Linked DNA regions of Daphnia pulex. The protein of the gene in region 1 purifies or fractionates together with the protein of each later gene. This does not show direct contact. Links are inferred from orthologs where the notes say so. Each region holds a gene or a part of one and is shown on either strand. Other genes may lie near its edges. The genes, in order: large proline-rich protein BAG6-like and ATPase ASNA1 homolog.

Region 1 (11,953 bases):
TCTTAATTTTATCGATTGGTGGTGTTGATCACTTGTTTACAGCCGCATCTGGGACACGGCTTCCGGCCAGTGCCTAAAAACGCTGATCGATGATGACAATCCTCCCGTCTCGTTTGTCAAATTTTCACCCAACGGAAAATACATCCTGGCTGCAACTCTCGACAACACACTGAAGTTGTGGGACTATTCCAAGGTGTCATCATGAATTCAACTCTAAAGATTTTTGCAGATTTTACCATTCTTTTTTCTTTGGCTCGTTTCAGGGCAAATGCTTGAAAACCTACACCGGCCACAAAAACGAGAAATATTGCATCTTTGCCAATTTTTCGGTTACTGGAGGAAAAGTACTGCTTTAACAATCCACGTTTCATTCTTTTACTTGAACATGTTTTTCTTTCTGCAGTGGATCGTTTCCGGCTCTGAAGACAACATGGTTTATATTTGGAACTTGCAAACGAAGGAAATTGTTCAGAAACTTCAAGGACACACCGGTAAGGCTTCCTACCGGGGGACCTGCTCCTTCTTTCACATTTAATTTGTCTAGACGTCACACGCGAACTTATATCCCTTCATGTTTCATTCTAGATGTCGTGCTGTGTACTGCATGCCATCCGACCGATAATATCATCGCATCTGCTGCATTGGAGAACGATAAGACTATCAAGCTCTGGCGTTCCGACACGTAGACCGCGCATTTAGCTTTGTCGCAATGAACCAACAACAAAAAATAATGGGAAAAAAGACGATGAAAAGCAGTTTTGAGGTGTGTACTTTATAGGAGAATTTTGAGGAAAAAAAAATGCAATTTCTTGGTATAAAAAAGTTTCCTGGCATTCTTGACTTCTCATGGCCTCCTCGTCGACAATACAAACATCTTTTTTTTTAATCGTTATAATTTCTTTAAGCAAGTAGATTCGAGTTTAATTGGGGTGATAGAGGCGCTGTGAAATGCGTTCCATATTGACGGCGTGCACTGTGTGCCAGGGAATGACGCCCTTTTTAACCTATTGTTTATTCAATAAAGAAACATGAGGATTAGTTTGAAGTTTTGAAATTAAATATCGACTTACTTGTAAAGTTTGAAAAACGTCAAGAACGGAAATCGGTTGAAGTGCGGTAACTTGTTCGGTAGTGCACGCTAGGTAGAATGCGGAATCCCGCTCTGCTTTCTGAGATGTTTGGGGTATGGCAGGAACGTGAGGTGGTTCCGCAGCTTGCGAAATTTCGGTCAGATAACTGATTTAAAATGAGAACACTTAGAAACATTGTTGTTGAAAAAGAATAGGACTGTACAATAAATATTTACCTGTTACTGGTACTGTCTTGGATGGACCATGAATTGTGTAGCCACGGATTAATTGTAGGTTGGCCAACCGAATAGATGACTTTGTTCTCTCGAAGGCGGTACCCTTTCCGGTTTGTTATGATAGCAATTATCAGTTCTTTAAGAAATTGCTTGGTAGCTGCCAGTATCAGTTTGATGGCTTTGTCTTCACAACCATGATCCAAACCAGCATCCCAAGCTGCTACTAGCATTCGACCGTGAACGAGTCCAGCGTCAGGTAAAATTAGATCCTGGCTGCAGTAACGAAGCTGTGGTTTCTCTACAGTGCAAGGAGCAGAAAATGGTAACAGAGAAACTGGATTCACTGGTTGGAATCGATTCTAGATAAGAAAAGAATTATGTTAATCAAGGTCTCCAATGAAAATTCCAATAATTAAGACATATTACATCAAAGTTGACAGTGAGAGGCTTGTTCTTTGGGTAAACTTGTCTTGTCACAGTGATCGGTTTGATTTCAACAGAATTACGTTTCTGTAGAGGAATGGTATGTGGTCTGATTTTGTTCACTTCAGTGACAACAATTGGCTTTTGCTTCACACCATGATAGACATAGGTTGAAGGCTGGCACAAGCTTTGACATTTTGTAACAATGGCCAAAAGAAACTCATTGTGAAGATGAACTTGGTCTACTTTCAGGTACAATCTGGCTTGGCGATCAAACTCTTCTTTGCTTGTCTAAATAGAGAGAATGTCAGTTATGACTGAATGGATAGTATAAAAGAAACATTTCTTACCCTCATACAAAACCACGATTTCAGGTGGGCAAAATAACTAAATAAAACATGATATTAGAGATATACCACCACAAATATCAAATCTGATTTATTTACTTCTTAGAAGAATCTCCCAAAACATCCACCAACCGTTTCCTGGCTTCGTTAACATCAAGTGCATTCATTGTTGTTGTGTTCTGACTTTTGAACTGCTTCGCTCACTTTTTTAGATTTAACTCGCCATTGGATTTCGTCTACACCTGTCTTGCCTCGACTATCGAAAACCACCAAAAGATGGTGCTCATTCCAGGAATTGATTTTCATAAAATAATTTTTTCCTTGAATTTGTCATTGATAAATATAACGTGTAAAATTAGATAAAATCTTGTTCGTAAAATGTACAAATTATCATGAAATTGAAGTGAATTCCTCTTTTACGGTTTAAAACCAAGAGAAATAGGTGGCGTTGTAACACAACTTGGTTCGTAAGCCTATGAATTGTCGGCTGTGTCGTGTCGTGTCGATTCGATGTGGAGACAGTTGCGCCTCTATTTGTTATCGTGTATTATTACAGGCCCGATTTCCAGTTTTCCACGTTAGAGATTTACATTTCGACACCCATTACACAACTGACGTCGGTTCAGAGCCGTCCGGTTAGATCGGTAAAATAAAAAATACTGAAACCGAATAATTATTATTAGTGTGTCTGTATCGTCACCAAACTACAGCGAGGTTGGAACTCGAGGTGGTGAAAGCTAAACAAAAATGGCAAATATTGAAGTTACCGTCAAAACCCTCGATTCGCGTAATCATAAATTCACAGTTTCAGAGGAGGTAAGACCATTAAAAGAAACGACTCGTGAGTTTTAGATAGGGGAAACTAACTGGATTTCTGTTTTGCAGCTCACAGTCAAGGAACTTAAAGAACACATTGCTGGGGATGTAGGAACACCAGCAGAGACTCAGCGTTTGATTTACTGTGGCAGAGTTCTTCAAGATGACAAAAAGCTCAGTGAATATGGTAAATTGAAAATACTCTTTCCTAGCTCAAAACAAATGATTGGCATGTAAATGTTTTTGTGTTTTACAGACCTGAGTGGAAAAGTCATTCACTTGGTCCAGAGAGCACCTCCAACAGTTGGTAATCCTCCTTCAGGACCACCAAGAACTCAAGGATCTAGACCAGGAAACATTCACTACCACCTAGACAGAGGGTTTCAAAATGGTGCCAATCATTCATTTGGTAAATTTCTCATCATTATTAAAAGTAGAAATCTCAATAACAATGTTTACGATCAAATGAAGGTTCAGTACCAGCTCCAGCCGGAAGTAGTTCTCTGTTGCGTTTGAATACAGCCAGACACATGCTGGAGGATGCCTCACAGAGTTTGGGAAGGATCAGTTCAGTTCCCAGCACTGGTTCACTCTTTACAATGGATAATACTGCTGAGGGACCCTACTCATCCATACAAATGGTTCAAGCACAGGCTGCCACTGCTATAGCTGCTGCATTTTCAACTGTTCAATCCTTGGGGTAATGACAAACCTCCAAACTAAAAAACTAAAAATGTTAGTTACGTTTCTTTTTATCAGGGCAAACAATATTGCCGTGTTGCAAGGACCTAATGGATCACCAGCAGTTCAAGGATCGTTTGGTTTTCGGGTGCAAGGGCCTCAACCAAATAATCCACCAGAGAGTGGCAGTGGCGCGAGCGAACGCGTAAGTCCTACAGCTCCGACTTCAACAACACCCCCTTCAACAACTCCTCCTTCAACCACCCCATCTGCAACTCCTTCGTCGGCTCCTTCGTCAGCTCCGTCGTCAGCTGCAGCTCCTCCTGGTGACCAACAACCTCGACAACAGCAAATTCGAAATCCTCGAGTGTCTGTCTTTGCCGATGTCATCGAAGATATGGAACGGATCCAGCAGGATCTTCGCCCTCATTTGACAACCGTCCGTCAGCTCCTCAGAGATGATCCCGTATTGGACAGCACATCACCTGAATACCGGCAAGCACAACACACCTACAACCAGGTTCAGTAAAATCATATTATATTTTCCTTTCCATGTTTTTCAATTGATTTTTGATCCAAAAGGTAGCCGAAGGATTGCACTTTTTGGCCCACGCTTTTCACGCCATGAGCGATTTAATGGTTGACTTTGGAACTCCCCCTCCTCGTGAAGTCCGTGCTAGACCCTACGTCTACCAACAAGTTCTTTCATCGACCATACCCATTCACGCTTCAATCAGCGTCGAGACTACACATACCCACCGAGCTCCTCAGACACAGGCTAACCCAGCAGCTCCTGAGGCCGCTACAGCTCCTCAACCGCAACCAGCGCAAGCTCCTCCGCGATTGCCCACAAGAATATCTCCTCATGAGTTCATCCGACACGTTACCCGCCCACCCACTGCAGCTACTGCTGCCAATCCATCAGTTCCTCCAACTACAAATCCGACATTTCATGGTTGGCGGGCTGCTGGAACGACCGGAACGGGTGTAGCTAATGCATCGGCGCAGAATCCCCCAGCTCCAAGAGCCTCAGTCCAAATGCTGCACCCTGAAATGCTGGTCAGGGGAGGACCGCACCCGTTTGGACGTTTGCCTTTAGCCATGGCGAGTCAAGGAGGCTGGACCCCTGTCAATTTAGGTGGTCAAATGCATCCAATGTCGCTCTTTATGGAAGTTCGCTCGAACAACAATCAACAGGAAGATCAACAAGCGTCTCGTGGGCAATCACCAACATCTTTGGGCGAATTTGACGACTTTTTACCGTGTCATTCTCGACATGTTACCCGCTCGTCTTCATCCAGACCCGACACTGAGCGAGCCAGACCACGCCCAGTGGTTGTCACTTCCACGTCGGCGGCACAAGCTTTTCCCGGTCTCAATCAAACCCGTCCACCAGGCCCTGGAAATCAACCGACAGCCGTTCCGGCCTCCGTCGACGAATTTATGAACGAAATGTTTCGTCAGGTAATTGCGGCATTGAAAATTGCGAGAGGAAAACATTGATAATGATTGGTCATTAAATGGAAATTCAGGTGACGGCCAATAGCGGTGTACTATCAGGCGGGGTAGTAGCAGGTGGAACGAGTGGTGGAGATGGATCCAGCAGCCCTAATCCAGTGTTAACCAACGCCTTGTTTAGTAGTTTGCTCCAGGGAGTCATGCAAGAAGTTGCGGGTGTGGTGAGTGGCCATCAGTCGCCCAACACGGTGGCCCATTTCTTACGCAACATTCCTGATTTCACTTACACGGCCGGCGAGTCGTTCCTCTTTGACCTCTTTATGACTATGGTGAAATTTACCTTGACGATGATGAAACGATCCATTCAAAAACTAACAGCTGACCTTTATTTTTTGACTAAAAAGGCGGATCACATGACATTCCGTGATTTGATGGCCCTATTTTACGGAATGCCGGAGGCTTTGAACCAGATGAGAGATCATTTGAGGAATTTCGCTCGTCAACGAGTCTTACCTTCCGGTGGTGACTTTTCAGACCCTTCCGTCCGACAGGGCATCATGACACTGGTCAATCAAGCCATGCCCTTACTCCAGAGTGCTGCCGTAGGACACGATTATTATTATTACATTTTTCATTTCAAGTATTGACTAAATTGTCTGGTTTTAGGCCGAGGCCAGCATTCGTCCCGATGTGGATTTCGTCGCTACCATGGCCCAATTCATCCAGCAGTGTCTTCACGAAGTCATCCAGTTAATTGGAATGCCAGGTATTATTGAACTTGTACTTGACGTTGATAGCTGATTGACTTTTCTGTTTTGTTTAAGGTGAAAATCCGAATTTCGGCCAACTGATGATGGATAAAATCCGCCGGACTTTAATACTCGCTGCAGCTTTAGCCCTCAATTGTTTCACCGATGGTTCCACTAGTCTTGAACGCGTTTTCCTATCTCAGTTGGTAGGATATTAAATGAATTATTATAATGAATTGAGGCGCTAATTGTTTTGTTATTAAAATGTAGCGTGGAGTATCGGATGGAGTTCATCCAGCAGTCCAAGAGTGGACGACAAATTCGTCGATCGAACGTCTTCGTTCACTTTTGGCTTCCGTCGATTTGGATCAACTGACGCCAACTATTGAGCCCATGGTGATGAACACGGAACGCGGAAGGACCTGGACTGCCCTTTTCAATGCAGAAGTGGAAGAGATGACCGACACAAATTCACCGGCCGCAGCGACCGTCGTTGCTCCCGAGTCTGTTCCCCCAGTGGCTACTGGATCGACGGCACCAGTTGAAGAAGAACCGATGGATGTGGTAGAAGAGAAGACGGAAGAAGCAGCATCCGCACCAGTTTCTGCACAGCCCGCAAGACTTAGTCGACTAGAGAAACTCCGCCAAGATGTTCGTCAAAAGGAATCCAGCCAAGTGAAACCTCCAGAGCCGGTCATTGACGTCGTCATGGGCTCTCAGTCGTGGCACAACGAAGTCCCACGGGTCAGAATTTTTAGAAATCGTTTTTCATTCCACCCAAATTTTTAATTAATTTTGTTTTTAAATACAATTTTCTGACAGGAATGGGTACCGGTGATTGCCCGTGATATCCAACGTCAAAATCGAGCTCCGCCAAATGTGCCGCTCAGTGACGCCTACCTGGCCGGAATTCCCAATAAGCGACGCAAGTTGGCCGAAGGCAATCGACCCAACACAAATCCTCAGTTGCTCCTCCAGGGTAATTAATTCATTCATCATATTTTATACAACGTTTGTAAAACCCTTTTTTTTTTTAATTTCTGAAATGTTAGAAACGATGGAACGCGCCCTGCGTTCTGCCAACGTCTCGTCGGCCGCCGTTGGTGAAGTAACGAATGTGGCCACTGCCAATGTCGAAGTGGGCAGCGCCCTTTTGCCGGAAATCCGCCGTTTGGGCAACGCCAGGCTGGACACGGACGCCGATTTCGATGCCGAACGTTTCCCTAACGCAGAGCGATACTTTCACGGAAACACTTAAAGAGTAAATAATAATAATAATAATAATAAAACAAAAACAACAAAGAATCGCCTCCACCCTGCCCTATTCTCTACCCCCATATAATTAATTAATCGGCCATTTTTCATGTTTTTTTTTCCCTTCTTCTTCTTCTATTGAGTCGCCATGTGTTTTTCATTTGTTCAAATTCGATGTAGGTGGAGTGGGCGATTTCGATCCTAATTGACTTCGATCGAATCATCATCATCTGATATAAAAAAAAGTAATAACTTTTCTTCATTTTTTTCCCTCTCATTGTTTATCCGTTTGTTTTCCGCCCATCAGCTTTTTGATTTAGTGGTTCCCTCTTCCTAAATTTTGTTTTTCTTGTAAAAGATAAAAATCAACCAAATGTTGGAAAGTTGTGCGAGTGTCATCAATATTTTGATTTCCCTACATTTTCCCGTCAATGGCCATCAACAAACTTTTTTTCCCCTTTTCGCTTGATGGCATACCCACCATAAACAAAGACAATTTTCTTTGCAATTTGGATTGTTTTTTTTTTTGTCTGCCTAACACGGAAATTGATAGATGATTGATTGAATAAAGATTTCTTTTTTTGTTTAGCTATTTTTCACCACTAGGTGGCGCTGATTATTTCATTTTGAAACTAAATGTTCTTCAAAAAAAAACTAGGATTGAAGAAAACTCAACACACACAATTTGGTTTTCCCTTTTGACATGTAGGAGGAATGGCTTTGATTAAAGAAGAGAGACACCGGCAGGGTTTGTTGACACACTTGACTTTGGGAGGTCATGACGGAAGTGATGGAAAAGAAGGTCTTCCCAGCAGCATCGGCAAAAGTCATCAAAGGCGATCGATTCATGGCCGATTGATATCGTTTGATGGAGGGAAAGATTTCTCTAACTTTTAATTGAATTTCCTATGGAAAAACCTTGGGATGTCTTGGATGACTCCCGTATGTTATTCATTATTGAATTCATGTGCTCCATCCGAAAGGGATCAGTTTTCTTCAGTTCCGGCCAAGGTTATGATTTTTTTTCGATAGAAAATTCGGAAATGTCGAAAATAGCTTGAGAATGTGCAGCAGCTAAAAAGCGGCAAGAGGACAGCGACCTCGACGGATTCCGCCAGTGTAGAAAGTGTTTTAAAAAACCCCATACACCCACACACACATGACAGTAGTAGTACAACAATAATAACAAATTCGTAAAAAAAAGGGAAAGAAAACTTTCTATCCGCTTAGCGCTTTCCACCACGATGCAGCAACTTCCAGGGAATTCACACACAATTGCATTGGTAAACAACTTTTGCTACTGTTGTCTAAAAAGAGCTATAGAGAGAAATCTTCCGGGTATTATTTTTCATGTCATTTACGGCCTTCATTTCGATTTATGTTGTTTTGATCAACTGCTGGTTGTATTTTATAGGGAGATGATAATTCGTTTCAACTTTTTTGTTTGTTATTAGATGATGATTGTGGTCGGGAGTCCTTGAGAGCAGCAGCGTCTACTCTTTTTCAATTATCGAAATTCATTCGGAATGATGTAGAAATGTAAGTGAATTTGGTCGATGATTGGGACAATCAAGGCCACATCTGCATCGAATTAAAGCCAAGTTTTTTTTAAATATCTTAATTGAATTAAGAGTTATGACGTTTTTCATTTAAAATCTTAACTGGTTCGTGTGTGTGTGTATGGGGATGGTAGACAACGATAGTCGGAATGGGAGAAGTAGGTCGGACGATGGGTGTTGTGTAAAAATTGTTTGATTACCGCAGATCGTCGAAACGAGTTTCGTGCATATAGAGTCGAGTACAATAAGCTCGGCAATGTGTAGAGTTGTGTGGGGGGGGGGGACGGCCATGTCTCTTTGCTGACAGCCACCAGCCGAGAGAGTGCGTTCACCTGCTGCCGCTCGAATGAAAATCCGGTTGCGTGAAAAAATAACACGGGAGAAGAGAAAGAACGCGTGGGGGATAGCAGACGATAAAAAAAAGAGAGAGAAACCTGAATCTTCAAAGTCGTGAAACGAGCGTTCAGAACGCCATTTGGAGCAGCAACAAACTGGAAACGCCAATTTGGAATAGTGAACTTTGTTCCATTAACCTAGACGCACAAAGTTCATTAAAAGGAAATTTATTGTTCGCCATTAGAATAAACATTTCCTTCGCTTCAGAGACGAATTTCTGCTCGATCAAATTCTTTCATTCTTGGTTGACCTGGTTGCTGGATGGCCAATGATTTGCCAAAAAATTGAAATAATAATAATTGAGTGTGTGTCCTAGAAAAAAAAAATGATTCAACGTATACGAATTCTTTAGTGTCCCGTTGATGCCCATAAATGTGTCTGCTGAGAAAAAAACTGGACAGACCGGAATTGAACAATGGAGGTCGGCGGCCATGATTTTTATTCAGTTGTCTGCCAAGAGAACAAATTCATCATGAATACCTTTTACCGACTAGTAGTAGAGTTACTCCCCTTTAGAGTTTCGCCATATTTAAAGGGCAACTGAAAAAGAAACAGCTGACTGCATCCAACACGTCGGTGTGTACACAGGAGAAAGTGGGTTAGCAGGACGTTCAACTCTTTGCCGTGCAGTGTCGGCGCGGGATGAAAAAAACTAGTCATGGCCGTGCGCCATTTTCGGTTTTGTTTTGTTTCTTTTCTCTTTTTTCTTTCTTCGACTTCATTGCCGAATCACGGTGTGTGCATATATACAGCCAGCAATGAATCACGCCTATAGCCAAAAAGAACTTGTGTTAGACGTCCTTTTTTATTTTTGAGGTCGGGGATTTAATTTTTCTCGTCGTCGTGTGTGTCAATTTCGTCATAGCCGAAATTTTGTGTTTCGGTATTTTTTCTCTTCCAGTCGGGAAAGTCAACCGACGTCGAGGCGTCTCTCGTCGATCGATGCCGTGACGTCATTTTTAGACGTCGGGGTCGTCTACCTCTGCGTATTAAACTTTCCTTCTCTTTATTCTTTTCCATTATGTACATGCACTACACCAAACTACGCACAAGTGCACGCACGAAATCTGGATTACTACGCAGAATCTAAACAAAATGGCCGTCGTTTTAAAAAATAAATTTAAACATTAGAAATAAACAATGTTGAATTTTAGCACGACATTTTGTTCTCATTTCTCAAATTATTTTTTAAAAATAAAAATTTAAATATAAAAGTATTCGGCCGCTAGGTGGTGTCGCGGGTTCTTTCCGGTTCGGAACCCGCGTGTTCTTTTTTTATTTCTCCTCCTCTTTTTTTGGGAGGGGGGGGGGATCAGTGGGGTCGATTGAGAGGGAGGGTGGGGGGGAGAGTAGAGCAAAGGCAAAATAGAAACTAGAGGCAAACCCGAACGAGAGGTCGTTGCACTCTGCTGTGTGTGTGTTCTGTTCTGTTCGTCTGTACCGGCCCCCGGTTGTTAAAAAAAACAATACATTCAACTATCAATCGAATACAATTCGATTGAATCAAAAACTACCAAATTATTCTGGGGGAATGTCCAAGTGAAATTTCGTGTTACCAAAGTAATTGCAAACTTTTGACGAGTGTTGGATGTGTCGCTAGGGGCAACCTGAATACAATTTTTGTCCGAAATTCCTTGATCCCTAGTGCTGCAAGTGCACACACAGTGGTTGATCGAATGTGTGAAAAGTAATTTGAGAGAGGCTCCACAGCCATTATTTGGGAAACTTAAAAGATAGAAAACCGTTAGATTTCTATTCTGGAGAGACTTTGTGACGCCATGAAAGAAAAACCAAATTGTTAAAACAACAACCAAGGTCGTGATGATGAATCGAGTCTCATTTGATCAGTGGGGCAGAGTCGTGCAGAGGCTCACGGTGCTTTGACCTTGACGCGATACTAGCGCCACCACCACCATTTTCTTTCTTTTTCCTCCGTTCTAAATTCGTTTCTTTTTCGTCCAATTCACCAGAAGAAAAAGAGAATATCTCACATTGAGAAGAGATATGTGCACTACTACTCTCTCTCAGCTGTTTCCAAGGGTGAGTCTCTGCTGTGTGTGTGTGTCTATTCGTTTTTCTTCCTCCGACCGACAAACACGTGAATAAAAGAAAAAAAAAAGATTAGACGAGACGAGAATATTATCGGCGCATGCGTTGGCACTCAGTCGCTCGTCGTCTGCCACCGTGTTCACAGTTCAAGTTCTTCTTGATCGAGTGTGGTGTTTCGTTTGATTCATTCAACTATTTGAACCGTAGAATTTTTGGTTATTAAACCAGTGTGGTTTGTCTATCATTTTGCCAGTGTGTGTCCAGTGCGAAATAATTGAATTGGAGATTTCGACAATAACAACGTGTGTGGTTGTGTTTTTTAATTATTTGAAATTCAACACTTCGTGGAATTGGTCATGGTCGGCCGCCATTATTACGTAAGTGTGGACATCTTTTCGTTTTTCTTTTTAATAAATTGTCGATGGAATTTTTAAGGTTTTTTTCTCGTCCCGAGAGAGATTGTTGTGTGTTTTCGTAAAACATTCACGAAAGTCAGTGCCATCTAGTGGCGACCCAATTGACGGTCGCTGACTTTTTAGCCTCCTCCCGCACGCAACCCACTCACACCACCCTCAATCTCCACACAAACGTTTCTTTAGATATTATTTTTTTTTTCGTGACGGCCTCAAACCTGATTATTTAAAAATTAATTTTTCTTTTTTTAAATTTTCTGTCTGGATTGAAATTTATCGAAACTCTTTCTCGATCACGAACGAATTTTTTTCGTGATTCCTTTTTTCAATGTTTTTCGGTTGTGTGTGGCCTATTGAAGTCGACATTGAATGGGAAAAAAAAGAGGCGTGAATAGGCGCCTTATAGGTGGTAGAGTTAAAACAAAAAAAGGTTTTTTTTTGGGGTTTTCTGGGGTGGTGGGTGGGGCTTAGAGTGTCAGCGACCCCTGATGGAGAAACGAGG
Region 2 (13,130 bases), on another chromosome or scaffold:
TTTTTCTCCCTCCCGCTTATTATGGCGGTTAGTGTGAATGTGTGAACCAGTGTTTATGGGGATGGACATACAAAAGACTATTTAAAAATAATTAGGTTAAAAAAAGGAAAAGAGTTGGGTTTTGCGCGCGCTAATGTTTCAATTTCAATCCATTGCGTTTATATAAAAAAAAAAAAGAAAATTTGTCCTGCCAGACTTTTCTTCTTCTCTGCCGGAATGCAATCCTCTCTGTTATCATGTAACACACACACGAAACTGTTTATTATTTTTCTTTAATTCTCCCATGTCGATTTTTCTCCCTTTTCTGCGTGAATAGTAATTCTTGTGACGAAGCCGCCCAATGTCGGCTCTTTAAAATAAAAATAAAAATACAAATTTGTTCTGCGGTCAGGGGGGAAAAATTTTATTTGATTTAGAAAAAAAAATTAAGAATTAAAACAAAACAAAAAAAACATGTTACACATTGACGAAAATATTGTGTCTACCTTACGTTTCATTGGCTGAATTTGAACGCCTCTGTATTTTGTGTGTATGTGTGTGTGAATTCTCTATAAAAAAGATTAAAACAGAAATTGTACTTGGTAAACACAAAAAATTGTTACACGCTGAATTTTATGACCAATATATCGGTGAATTTTCATAAAAATGCGTCTTTTGGAATTTCGTTTTTATTTGGAAATAACAACAAAACCTTGTCTTGTAACAAAAATATCCGACTGGTACGCCGACGGATCACGAAGTCTGTTGTAGGTGACTGCCTGGGGCTGTTTCAGAAAAAGTGAAAGTTGCGCGTCGACATCGCCCCCTCGAGCACCTCCATTTACGGTGGTAACAACTTACACACACGGACACGGTACGCACACACACACACACAAGAAAAAAGTTTTGAAATCCCCTTTTCTCTCCAACAAAGAGATAACATCAACCACCGTAAATCCATTCGGAAATTGCCTGATCTTCTACGTGTACACAGAGAACGCGGATGGATTTTCTCCTGTCGGCGTTCAGTTCGTTATTCACGATACACTTAGTCAAGCTGCTTAATGGACATTGACGACGTCGTTGAATTTCGTAAGTCCTCAAGAGATTTTGCAAAGGTATATATAGTTACACATATACAGTGCACACGTAGGCAAAAAAAATAATATTTATTAAAAAAAGGACTAAATTTATTTCTATTTATTTTTCCTTTTTTTTTTAGACTCTTACGACAGACAGACTTTGTAGGCAGCCCATATGGGAAAAAGGAAAAATAAAAAGATTGTATAACCGGCGTCGGTCCCCAGGCCTCGGGCCTGATATAGCTCTCTCTCTCTCTCTCTATAGAACATGGGTCTAGTTTGACCTCATTCCGTAGACAGTGGTGAGCTCTGGATACATCTGAGAACAACAAAATAAATAAAGAAACAAGAATTTAAACAAAAAAAATTCAATGCATCACTATATTTGTAACGTAATAAATATCCTTGACGTCACAAATAAATGTGTGTACAAACAAATCGATAAATTTTGTTTGTTTTGTTTTTATCTTAAGAATAAAGTCAACCTTCGTTCCATAACCAGTTCCCACCGCCTCATTCACACACACACACCCAAAAATAAAAAATACAAACTAAAATATAGTGGCTGCAAACTCTTTTAGATTGTCTACGTCTAGAGAACTGACCAGTCTGGCGAGATTTGCATACACCCAAAAAATATCCCTGTATACATTATATAAGAGAGCCACAAAAAAAAACGAGAAAGTAGTATATACCGACAAATAGACTGATTCCATTTGAAGCCGTTTTGCTCGCACGTATGGGCCTCGCTCCTGTTGGGGCACTCGCAACGACAGTTGTTTTTAGAGTAGATCTAGGATACGAATGTAATTTATTCAGTGTCAACTGGTAAAAATAAATCTTTGATTGATATTTTTTTACCGCAGGCTTGTGGCAATCTTTCGGCTTAATCAGACAACCGCATTTACAACTGACGTGTTCCTCGACTTCCATCTGCATACATGTTGTCGAACGATTTTCCTTCGTTTTCGGGGCGGGCTCTTTAAGTGCGTAAACCTGAAATTATACAACAAAAAATTAAATAGAATGCGCACCAAGATAAGGGGAGAAAAAAACGACTTACCGAAAGTTTTCGCATCTGAGTTGTTGATGGTAGACAATGTTGGGCTGAACTGCTACATTTACTATAATTACATCGCATGACTTCTACATGACTCGGTTCGATCTGGTGTAAAATTCATCAAGTCAGGATGATTTTTAGTTTTAATTGGAGAATTATTTTACCTTGAAACCTTCAAATTTTTCTAAGGCGACAACATAAAGACGCGGTTTGCATTTTGCATTCCTGTTTTCGGCAGCAATTGCTTTGGCGTCACAAGTAGCAGCTGAATTTTACAGTAAAACACATTTTATATCACTCCATTATAAAATTGGGAGAATAATAAAATACACAAACTCTTATTTGCTTTTGGATCAAGAGTTCTCATTTTACGGTCCCAATGGTCTTGGAAAACCTTGACAATTTAGTGAAACGTATTACAATTTCATATAAACGTAATAAATGCATGAGCATTACCTCGTTAAAGAATTCAGTTTGGTAATTCCGCAATGTACTTTTCGATTGCCTGTTGAATTTTTTGGATCTAAAAGGTAATCCTGAATAAACTAGATGAATGAATATTAAGCAAACAAAAATGAAGGACATATTGGCAGCCATGTTTCCTTGACACTTGTGATTCAATCAAAAGTGAATGGAAAACTGTATAAATTTTCCGGTTAAGGGTTAGTAATAACCTACCGTGTCGATGAATGTTTGAGCCTTTAAGATTAACCGTGGTTTTCCCCCCCTTTGAAGCACTACGGAAACCCCATTAACCTCAGAGGAGAAGTTTGAACTAGAATGTATACTTATCTAACTCAATGAATTAATTTTATTCTAAAAATGACAGGAAATGAGCGATATTTAGTAGATAGAAAACGGGATGTATTTCCATACAAGTTGCATTTCGTCAAACAAGTCAAGCCATATTGAAATCATCTCTCTGAAATAGAAGGAATGAAATTGATTAATTTCTTTAAAAAATTGCAATAATGATCATTATTACCATCTCGTTGTATTCCATAATATGTTTCTTAATAGCTGAGGAGTCTACCCAGGTCACAAAATCCTCCATATTTCTAATTCATAAAAAAAGTAACTGAGTCATTTATATGCAATCAATAATTGAAAAGTTTTAATAAGTACCTGGTAACAAGAAATGCTGGGTCTTTTACCACTTCAGGACCAACTCTGACATGTCCTTGTTCCACAAATGTAGTTGCAGTTTTGATGGAATCTGCCATCTTTGCCCTAACCATGACCACAGGAAGTCTTCTTCGACAGAAGCAGGATGCTGTTATTTTGGAAACAAGATCAAGGGACCACTTGGTTGGAATTAAACCCATGGAATATCTAAATTTAAGATAACAGTCAAGTAACCTTCAGAAATTATATGAAAACAAAATTGTACAGTTTTTCCAAAAGAGCAGCGCTGCACTCCACTCTGAAAGGGTCTTTGGGGTCGAGCTCCTTTATCTTGTTTGCCAACTTTTTTACATGCATTACAAGTGTGCAGTACCTGCAATTAAGATACATCGTCAAAATGATTTCTTAAGAAATCTGTCATTTAAAATCCACTTACTTTGTGTAATCATCTCTTTTTTGAATTCTGTATCTTTTAAGAATTTGCACTTCATGAACATTGTTGTCAAGCTTCCAGGAGATGAAATCTACTTTTTTCAACAATTTCTGTTCATGATACTTTAGTTTTCGGACCATTCTGTTTTGTTAGTTTTTCAGACGTTGCACAGAAATCCTATGAGTTAATTCTTATAATAAAAAATCGATGAGTTTATTTCTATGACGTTGTACTCTACCTGGAACAGAGATGTGTTGCTGATTTCGAAATTAATTATTGAAGAATAAAGCTGCTAAACCTTGCAATCCCCTCGCGAAACGCACGAAAAGTTTGATACAAACTACAAACAGCAGACAAAAAAAGACAACTTGCAGACGACGGAAATCTCACACGTGTGTGGCTGCTGAATTCTCTTTAATAGTTAAACAAAGTACTAGGTGGCAGCATGCTACAATCTAATATTCGAGCCCTTCGTTCTTATTTTTAAATATTTATTATTTCAAAGTGCATCGCCAACAGCTAGCTTGTATTAAAACTAAAAATATGCGTCATATGCTTCCACGTAAATTCCTGTTTTTTCCAACATAAAAAACATTGTTAAAACATGCGACGTTTCCATTTAGGACTGATTCTGAGTTTTGACTCGAGTTTCTTGATAAAAGATGTCTTCACCAAGGACTTTGTTTAATGTATTCAACATGTGGGTAACTGTGTAATATTTAAAAAAAAATCAAGGACGGATGGTCATGATTGAAAGATTGTCGACAAGAGAAAAACTGATTTCTATTTCGTTTATTTTTGGCACTGTGAAGCTTAGTCGGTTGATAGCAGACGAGCACGTCTAAAAAAGAAATGATAAATAAAAGACGTGATGGATTGAAACCGAAAGAGAAATCAGTTAAACAGGAGGGATTAGCATTGGTAAATATAAAGGTAAAAACAATAACGTGGACAAAGTTCTTGTTTGTTCTCCCCACAACGTAAGCTCAACTGGTGGCAGCTTGACTACGGAGAATGGCGGAAGCGTTCTTGTGCAATAACATTTGCTTCAAGGCGAATGCTTCGTCTCTCAAAGTGGCCACTTGAGCTCTCAAGACCGAATTCTCCTTCTGTCAAATTACAAAATAAAAAACACTCAAATTGAAGTATGAATAACCAGTGAAATTGTTTACTAGATATTAAATCCTACCTCAAGGAAATTGGCGCGAACTGTAACTTGATCCTCACGGTTTTTCCGCATGTCTCGAGATCTCTTAGCCTTCAGAAAAAGATAATTTTAAAATTCTGTAATTTGGAAATTTTTATAGATCACTTACTGCAAGATTATTCCGACGTCGGCGTTCAAAATATTTGCCATCCTTCAAATCATCGGGAATAGGTTTCTTCTCACTCCTCGGCCTTCTCGTGGTGGCCGAGGCCAAGGCTTTGGCAACCAGGTGAGAAGGATCAGCAGGTGAGGCCGGACTTGTTGCATCTGATTGATTAAGATGGTCAGACTTGTTTTGTTGCGCCATCAGATCCCGCTGGAAGGAGAAAGCAGCCGCCATAGCATGCATTAGCTGTGATGAGTCAGGATGATGTTGATACGATGGCGGAATCGGCGAATCTTCACGTTGGTGATGACTGCGACTAGACAAATCAGCGGGCGATTCATCGTCGGCCGACGATGACGAGCTGGTAACTTCACTTCTTTCGTCGTTTAACGACATGCTTAAGTTCACGGGAACGTTGGCACCAACACCTTGACTATTAAAAATGGCCTGTTGGAGTAACGCATTCAAGATCGAGTTCTTAGTCTCCATCATCAAATGAGCACTTCTAACCGAGTCGATAACACTCGAGTAACTGACGACGATGATTTCGATACTGTAGTAAGATCAAGAGGACGACCATGAAATGTATCGACGAGTCGATGACATGACCTTCTTCCAACGAACTGGCCAACTGGGCTTAAGTTGTTTTAAGTCATCGACCTACTCCCCCAACAGTAGTCTCCATACTATTTTCTATTAACACGTTTCATCCCTTTACTTTATTCAAGGTCATCGTCGTCAATATTGGGTGGCACAGTGGTGTGGGATAGGGTCATCTATATATGGGTGAAATGACCTCACAAGAGATAAATGACCTCGAATGACTGAGGCTTTAGAACCTGACCCATATTTTCTATTCAGCTAAAAAGGGATAGTCTCATATCCCCAACGGCCGAGACCAACATACGTTTTGACCTGCAAGTGACCTTTTCTTCTTTCATTCTATACTGCCTCTGTGTCAAGAGACGTCATTTGAAATTCATTAGATTTTTGCGCGTTCTGTTAGCAAAAGTGAATTTTTGAAAATTCTTGAGCCTGAACATTGTGCTTGGAAACCTAAAATCACTTCACAGTAAGAAAATGATGCGATTTCCTGACGTTTTACAAGTTGAATAACCTCTTGTCATTACTGTCGTCGTTACTGTCGTTGATAGTTAAGTATCAACGACCTGCATTTAGATGTGTATTCGCATAGTCAGGCCTCTCCAGGGAAAAACGTCTGCAGTCCCAAAGCAAAAGGCCACAAATGGGGGAATATTCAGTTCTGAGAATCCACGTGCGTTGTGCACTAGCATTTTAAACCCTCCTACTTTTTTATCCGGAAGCTTTTTTTTTCTTTTAACATACCAACAGTCCTTTTAACTTAACCTCCAGGCATTTTCATAGATTTTTCATCGCTACCATTAGTTATCTTGCTGGAGTTGTTGTATACGTAATGGCCCCATGGGGGAAAACGATATTGCATAACAAGATTTACGGAGACAGTAGATTTATGTTTTTGTGGTTTACTTAATTTGTTATTGTGTTATATAAACTCAGAATTTTCTATTTATTAGCACTAGCAGGAGCAGCACCATATCCGCCCATCTAATATCCAATCATATCTAATAACTCGCAAACCCTGCTTCCGTTCGTCAACTTCCAAAGCAGTAAACACAATGTAACCCTTTATCTCTTTAATGAACATACTTTGATGTCATAACATTATTTTATATTATATGTATTGGGTATGGTGTCTTTTAATCAATAATTTGAAATATCCGCCCAAAAAGGAATGACGCCAGATTTATAAAATAAAATGACAAATGCCAATGTGTCAAATATGTATTGTGTCGTCTGCAACAAAATCCATTCACTAGTCCATTCGTGTGCTTTCTCACTAATCATTAAAACAATATTTACCGTCTGTTATTTCAAGGTCTGATAATACGTCTAATGGCGTCTAATATCGAAGAAGATTTTCTTCAGCTTGATCCGACACTTAACAATGTTATTGAGCAATCCACTTTGAAATGGATCTTTGTCGGTGGTAAAGGAGGTGTAGGCAAGACAACCTGCAGGTATAATGATTTTCTTTTGACATTTTGAAATTTTCGTAATAAATTTTATTTTCTGAATTTTGAAATTATAGTTGCAGCCTTTCTGTACAGCTGGCCCGTGTTCGTGATACTGTACTTATCATTTCTACTGATCCAGCTCATAACATATCAGATGCTTTTGATCAGAAGTTTAGCAAAGTTCCTACTAAAGTGAAAGGGTTTGAGAATTTATTTGCAATGGTAAAATGTTTTCATCTGTCAGTCTTATTATTAGTTTTATTATCTAATTTGATTTATTTTGTTAGGAAATTGACCCAAATGTTGGCTTTAATGAATTACCAGATGATTATTTTGAAGGAGAAAACAACTTTTGGAGAGCCAACCGTGGATTAATGCAAGAAATATTTGGTGCATTTCCTGGTATCGATGAAGCTATGAGCTATGTTGAAGTTATGAAGTATGAGAAATCTGGTCTAGATCTTGAACCATTTAAAAAAGTGTTTTTCTAATTTAATATTTTGTGCTTAAAGGTTAGTACAAGGAATGAACTTCTCTGTAGTGGTCTTTGATACAGCTCCAACTGGACATACTTTGCGTTTGCTTGCATTTCCTTCTGTTGTAGAGAAAGGGCTCAGTAAACTTTTGCGTCTCAAGTCGCAAATTGGGCCATTTGTCTCACAAGTAAGTTTTTAAGAACAAATATTGTTTGACCTTGATTACTAAACTAATTTATTGATTCTTGCAGATATCAGGTCTTATTGGCATGAGCAATGTTAATACAGACATATTTTCTAATCGTTTAGAGGAAATGCTACCAATTATTCAGCAAATAAATGAACAGTTCAAAGATCCTGTAATTTAAACAAATTACTTGTTGTTTGTTGTTTAAGAATTTAACCAACATAATTTTTTTCTATAGAATCGAACTACCTTCGTTTGCGTTTGCATTGCAGAGTTTTTGTCACTATACGAAACAGAACGTCTGGTTCAAGAGCTTTCCAAGTCAAATATTGACACACACAACATTATTGTTAATCAGCTATTATTAGACGCCCCAATAACATCAACTGGAGAAACGTGCGGACTATGCGGTGCTCGCAAGAAACTTCAAGCTAAATATCTTGATCAGGTTTTTTTCAATTATTGTCATATTGGTGAGGGGTTCTATTAATTGAATTTATTATTTGTCCGCTACAGATTGCCGACTTATATGAGGACTTCCACGTCACACGTTTACCCTTGCTAGATCGTGAAGTTCGTGGCGTCGAGCAAGTAAAGAAGTTTTCGGAGAACTTGCTGAAGCCTTACTCCCCAAAATAAAGATATGTATTTGTTAAGTGTGAGTTTTTTCATTATTATGAAAACCCATTATTGGTTCAAATATTTTGTAATTGTACTTCAGCATTTCATCCAGGAGAACCAATTTATTTTCCGATTTACTTTACCCTTTTCAATACGAAGTCAATAGCAACACAACAGCATTAATAGACAATCGAGTATATATTCATTTCAATAGTTTGTGAAGAGACGAAAATTGCCCTTGTGTTATAAGATATGCGCAAAAAAAAATGCAAAATGTGCATACCCAATGAAATATTGGATTTACAAGAGGAAGGACGAATTATTCCAAATCCCGCATGTTAATCGTCGACTGACTAAATTCGGAACATTCCTCACCAGTTTTCACGGGACTTGTTTGCCAACTCCAAACAATGTGGGCGTGACCAGTTGAACTTGTACTGGCCTCATGGCTTCCACCACCGGTATGAAGTAAGACGCAGACATTTGAATCTCCATTTGATCCCGGTCCAGCATCCTAATAAATTTTAATCATAATTATTACCATATCTCACAAAAAGAAACATTTTTATTTCTACCTGTAAACTGTCTGTCGGAACAGCGAGGAAAGTGACGACCGAGCGGTCTGCAGACATCTGTTCCTCGTCGTCTCCCAATAGCAATGCGATGTAGTCATTTTGAATCGGCTGATCAATTACTTTAATCAGTTCCGGAGGTTCCGTTGGAGAAACGGTAGCGGTGCATGGAGTAGAACGGTTACCGTGACATCGAACCATGTGTTTCCTCAGATTGGATTTGCCGGAATACTGTTTATTGCAACCGGGGTGCTCGCAAGGGAAGGTAAGATTGGCAGTATCAACATTATGTCTTTTGGCATGGACATATAAGGTACTCCTCGCTGTAAATTCCGCACCACAATCTACAAGTACGCAATGTTAATTGCGCTATTTAATTTTATAAAAATAAAATAAACTTACTTTCAACAGGACAACGAAACATTTTCATTCCGCGGTGTTGACTAAGAAGATGCTGCTTCAGATGTTCTGATCTCAAGTAAGCTTTATGACATTCCTGGTGTGGACATTTGAATGGTCGTTCATTCTTGTGAGTCCGCTGATGTCGGCTAAGCTTGCTTGGCGTTCGGAAAGCCCATCCACAGCCCTGTGATGAATTAAACAATGAATCCTTCCTAACCTTTGAACACCAAATACTTAACTCACCTCAAAATGACATACAAAAGGACGATCTCCCGTATGGGTTCTAAGATGTGATTCCAGATGAGATGGCCTGTCAAAAGATCGGGAACAACCTTCCCACTGGCACATTAATGGACCCACACGCGTATGACTACGAAGGTGAGTGGTCAGGGCGTTTAAAGAATGGAATCGTTTTCCGCAATTACAGTGATGACAAGCATACGGTGCTTCAACTTCTCGATGTTGCTCCTGTATTCGAAGAAAGACTGTGTTTGTTTTACATAAGCAGTATTTTTAGTTTGTTTTACCTTTAAATGGTTATCTAACTCTCTCTGAGTTTGAAATTCTGAACTGCACTGCTCAATTGAACATGAGTATATATTTGGTCGATCGTGAAGCTTTTTGTGTGAATTTAAGTTGTACAACGTAGTAAACTTCCTTCGGCAAACAGTACACTGAAATAATAGACGAAGAAAATCATTATCAATTGATTGTGCAAACCTTCAGCTATCTTACAGCAAAGTCTTTTTTCCCTTGATGACACTCTTTGTGGCGTTTCAACTTGTATTCTGAGAAGAATGACCAAGAGCAACCTTCAGCATCACACTAGAAAGGCAAATGAATAAATCACATAGCAAAGAATTTGAACAAGATTATTTGATCATACCTTAAATTGTCTGATTCCAACATGGGTCATAATGTGACTTTTGGCCATAAATAATTTAGAAAAACCTTTTGAGCATTCTTCAAATGGGCAGAGGTACAATGTTTCATTTTCATGAAGAACCACAATTGGTTTGGGAATTTTTTCACTGTGTACTTCATTAACTGAATCTGAAGGACCACTTTCCACCTTGGATTGTTGACTCTCTTTCTCACTATCTGATTCCAGAGCACTTACCTTCATGGACTCAAGTTCATGTGGTGTTAACAACATAATCTTTTCTTCAACAATATCAATGACTTTTGACTGTAGAGACATTAGGTTCTCTCTTTCATCCTGATGTAAAATGTTTGGAGTGTCCCGGACTTCCTCAAAGAGAATAGTCTCCTCAGTCGACAAAACAGCTGTTTCTTCATGAGAAGTGTTGAAACACTTGTCATCTAACTGCACTTCAAGCTCAATAATATTTGGAACTCCTTCTTCATCAGTTGTCAAAAGTTCTAATGGCAATTTTTCTCCCAAACAGTGAGAAAAATCGTTGGAGATAACAAGCGCATCAGGCGCTGATCTAATTTCGCTAGACAATCCGATCTGGTCGTACTCCATGCTGCTGGCAAGCTCATTATCTGTTTTAAACCACCTTTCCATTTTCAAACAATGCGCATCGATCAAATAATGAAAATTGAACAACAAATTTAGACAGAGATTTCAACTTCGCCACAAAAGAAAAAAAAATTAGTAAGAATGACAAACTAAACAGCGTTGCCAGGTTGAAGAAATCGATTTTACTCTTGAGATAATATTATTGTTCGTTTCACTGCGGTTCAACCTTTTATGAGTAAAATAAATAAATGAAAGTGTAGTAGATTAAAAAATGAGCGTAAAGGATGCTTCCATTTTCTTAATTACTTTTTAAAGGAATTTAACCTGACAATGGATCCATTCCAGTTTCCAGATGCCGCTAGTAGACGCCCCACAAAATAATGTAGTCTATTGCGCAACAGTGCAACACATTTCAGACTTTCAGTTCGGTACCAGCCTTTGGAGTATCGAGAACGTTTTTGTGGCGCATTTAAATTCTGAATTTGACTAATTTCTAGTGTTCTATGATTTTCTTTTGGGAAGTTTGTGGGTCATAAAAACTCATAATAATGGCAACAAATAGAACTGAAGAAGATACTTTCGGAGAACTAATAGTAAGTGTGTTATTTTCATTCCAAATCACCCATTATCTAAAAGTCTTTTGTCTCAGAAAACATTTTTAAAGGAGTTCACTGAGGGGAAATTCAGTTTCAATTCAAACAACGATGGTAATAAGTTAATTGGCAGTTGAATGAACTGAAGTCAGTTATCAATATGTTGCATTTTCCAATATCAAATGTCTTTTGTGTTCACAGAGTGTGAAGCCACATTGAATATGTCCACACATTTGTTTGCTGGTCTGAGAACTTCCCAACAAGAGAGGAATGATGGTCTAATGTTGAAGAGCTTAAAATACTTGGTATGTACATACATTTTTGTATTTATACAGCACATTTTAATTGATGTCGCTTTCACAGATGGAAAATAATCAAGTAAGCCGGCAGTTTACCTCGAACATGTTACCCACCCTGCTCACTAAACATAAGGATAGTCTATGTTTTTATCTGTTGTTCCAAAAACTGAAGGATCTTCTTCTTCAGTCACAAACAGTGAATGAGTTGTTTTTAGTGAACACTGTATTATTGCTTCAGGAGAAAAAGTATGGCCCAGCTCTTGCTGAATCACAAAAGTTCACAGGTGTTTTTTTTTTTTTAACTTTAAGTAGAGTTAAAAAGAATTAATTGTTAATTTCATTTGTGTCCCTGATTCTTAGCCAAAGAACACCGAGCTAGTGGTTACGAGTCTCAAGCTGCAGCTGCGTCTGCCTTACTTGCCGGCTATGAAACAACTCTTGATTTCCCATGTTTTGAAGAAAACATACAAGTACTTAAGGAGACGAAGATAACATTGGCATTGATGTTTGCTAAACATCCCTGGATGATTCCTACTTTTCTGGAAGCTTATACCTCCATTCTTTCCAAGTTGAATGCTCACGATGAAATTGAATTGTTCTTACGGGAGTAATTTCATTTCTGTTTTCTCGATACGTTCGTTTTCTAATCTGTATTCTTATAGATACGTTGAAAATGATGGCGGAATTGTGAGCGCTATTCTTGCTCTGGAAATAATGAAAGTGTATATTCCCAACGGCACTAAAGGATTAAACATTCACTTTCTTGAGAAGATAGCGGAGATCGACCAAGCGAATTCTAAGGTTTTAAATTTTTCCCTACACTTGTAAGATAATGTCTAAATGTAATCCTTTTATATTTAGGTCTTGGATTTGTGCAAACTTTATTTGCAGTCCGAATTCGAAAGAGACATCAGTCAGGACCGTCTTAAGAAGTGCCTCAAGCTCATGTTTGATTTTCTAGATGCGTATGCCTATCGCACACCGTCTGACGTTGTCAAAGAAGGATGGAATGTAATGGCAAATCTGATGAACAAGATTTGTTTGCAAGGTTTGAAGTTTAATGTCCTAATATTTTGCCTATTACTATATTACGATTTTGTTTCAATTTACAGGAACCGATGTTTGTCTGGAAGCTGTCATTAATGCTTGGCATCATGACAGAAAGAGGTGGTGGCCATTTTTCCGTTTTTCCAAGTTTCCGTCTCCTCTTCCATCTGGTTACGGAGAATTTCTTTCTGATATGGCTACTGTATGTCTGATTTTGGAGTCTCAAGACCACCCTTTCGTAGTTAGCGTTATAAATCTTCCGGAATGCTCCTCATTTCAATCGGTCGTCATGCATCGTTTGTCAGTGTTTCGCGACGTGAAGATGAATTTTGATTCGAAGATTAATGCCCTGATAACGTCAATTCCATTACCAATCTTGCCGCCTTTTGCGTTGGTCT

Evidence for each region.
Region 2: the proteins of large proline-rich protein BAG6-like (region 1) and ATPase ASNA1 homolog purify together in Homo sapiens (co-immunoprecipitation; 5 studies listed by BioGRID and IntAct, with this or other methods). This does not show direct contact. The link is inferred for Daphnia pulex from reciprocal best matches to the Homo sapiens genes BAG6 and GET3.

Annotation. Positions count from the first base shown.
Region 1 is NC_060023.1:11,632,207-11,644,159, reverse strand, and holds large proline-rich protein BAG6-like, read left to right. Parts: upstream 1-2,557; 5' UTR 2,558-2,823; coding exon 2,824-2,892; intron 2,893-2,961; coding exon 2,962-3,079; intron 3,080-3,148; coding exon 3,149-3,301; intron 3,302-3,363; coding exon 3,364-3,592; intron 3,593-3,651; coding exon 3,652-4,093; intron 4,094-4,155; coding exon 4,156-5,037; intron 5,038-5,105; coding exon 5,106-5,360; intron 5,361-5,435; coding exon 5,436-5,633; intron 5,634-5,697; coding exon 5,698-5,797; intron 5,798-5,855; coding exon 5,856-5,986; intron 5,987-6,050; coding exon 6,051-6,524; intron 6,525-6,602; coding exon 6,603-6,759; intron 6,760-6,832; coding exon 6,833-7,038; 3' UTR 7,039-7,041; exon of another isoform or gene 7,042-7,214; 3' UTR 7,215-7,622; downstream 7,623-11,953. Other genes in the region: WD repeat-containing protein 5, read left to right, coding at 43-193, 264-344, 404-491, 586-686; transcriptional adapter 1-like, read right to left, coding at 921-1,004, 1,071-1,236, 1,307-1,665, 1,733-2,020, 2,080-2,116, 2,176-2,243. UniProt on the Homo sapiens protein: ATP-independent molecular chaperone preventing the aggregation of misfolded and hydrophobic patches-containing proteins.
Region 2 is NC_060021.1:8,078,838-8,091,967, reverse strand, and holds ATPase ASNA1 homolog, read left to right. Parts: upstream 1-5,654; 5' UTR 5,655-6,927; coding exon 6,928-7,052; intron 7,053-7,123; coding exon 7,124-7,271; intron 7,272-7,336; coding exon 7,337-7,488; intron 7,489-7,561; coding exon 7,562-7,712; intron 7,713-7,776; coding exon 7,777-7,884; intron 7,885-7,950; coding exon 7,951-8,160; intron 8,161-8,228; coding exon 8,229-8,351; 3' UTR 8,352-8,523; downstream 8,524-13,130. Other genes in the region: uncharacterized protein LOC124194159, read right to left, coding at 1,347-1,380, 1,757-1,854, 1,923-2,057, 2,125-2,226, 2,286-2,386, 2,452-2,515, 2,578-2,718; U3 small nucleolar ribonucleoprotein protein IMP3-like, read right to left, coding at 3,020-3,043, 3,107-3,179, 3,247-3,453, 3,512-3,619, 3,683-3,819; transcription factor VBP-like, read right to left, coding at 4,666-4,788, 4,869-4,937, 4,996-5,484; zinc finger X-linked protein ZXDB-like, read right to left, coding at 8,653-8,847, 8,909-9,249, 9,308-9,491, 9,551-9,775, 9,835-9,981, 10,043-10,132, 10,194-10,838; uncharacterized protein LOC124194154, read left to right, coding at 11,342-11,386, 11,443-11,500, 11,588-11,691, 11,750-11,969, 12,046-12,292, 12,348-12,486, 12,547-12,733, 12,798-13,130.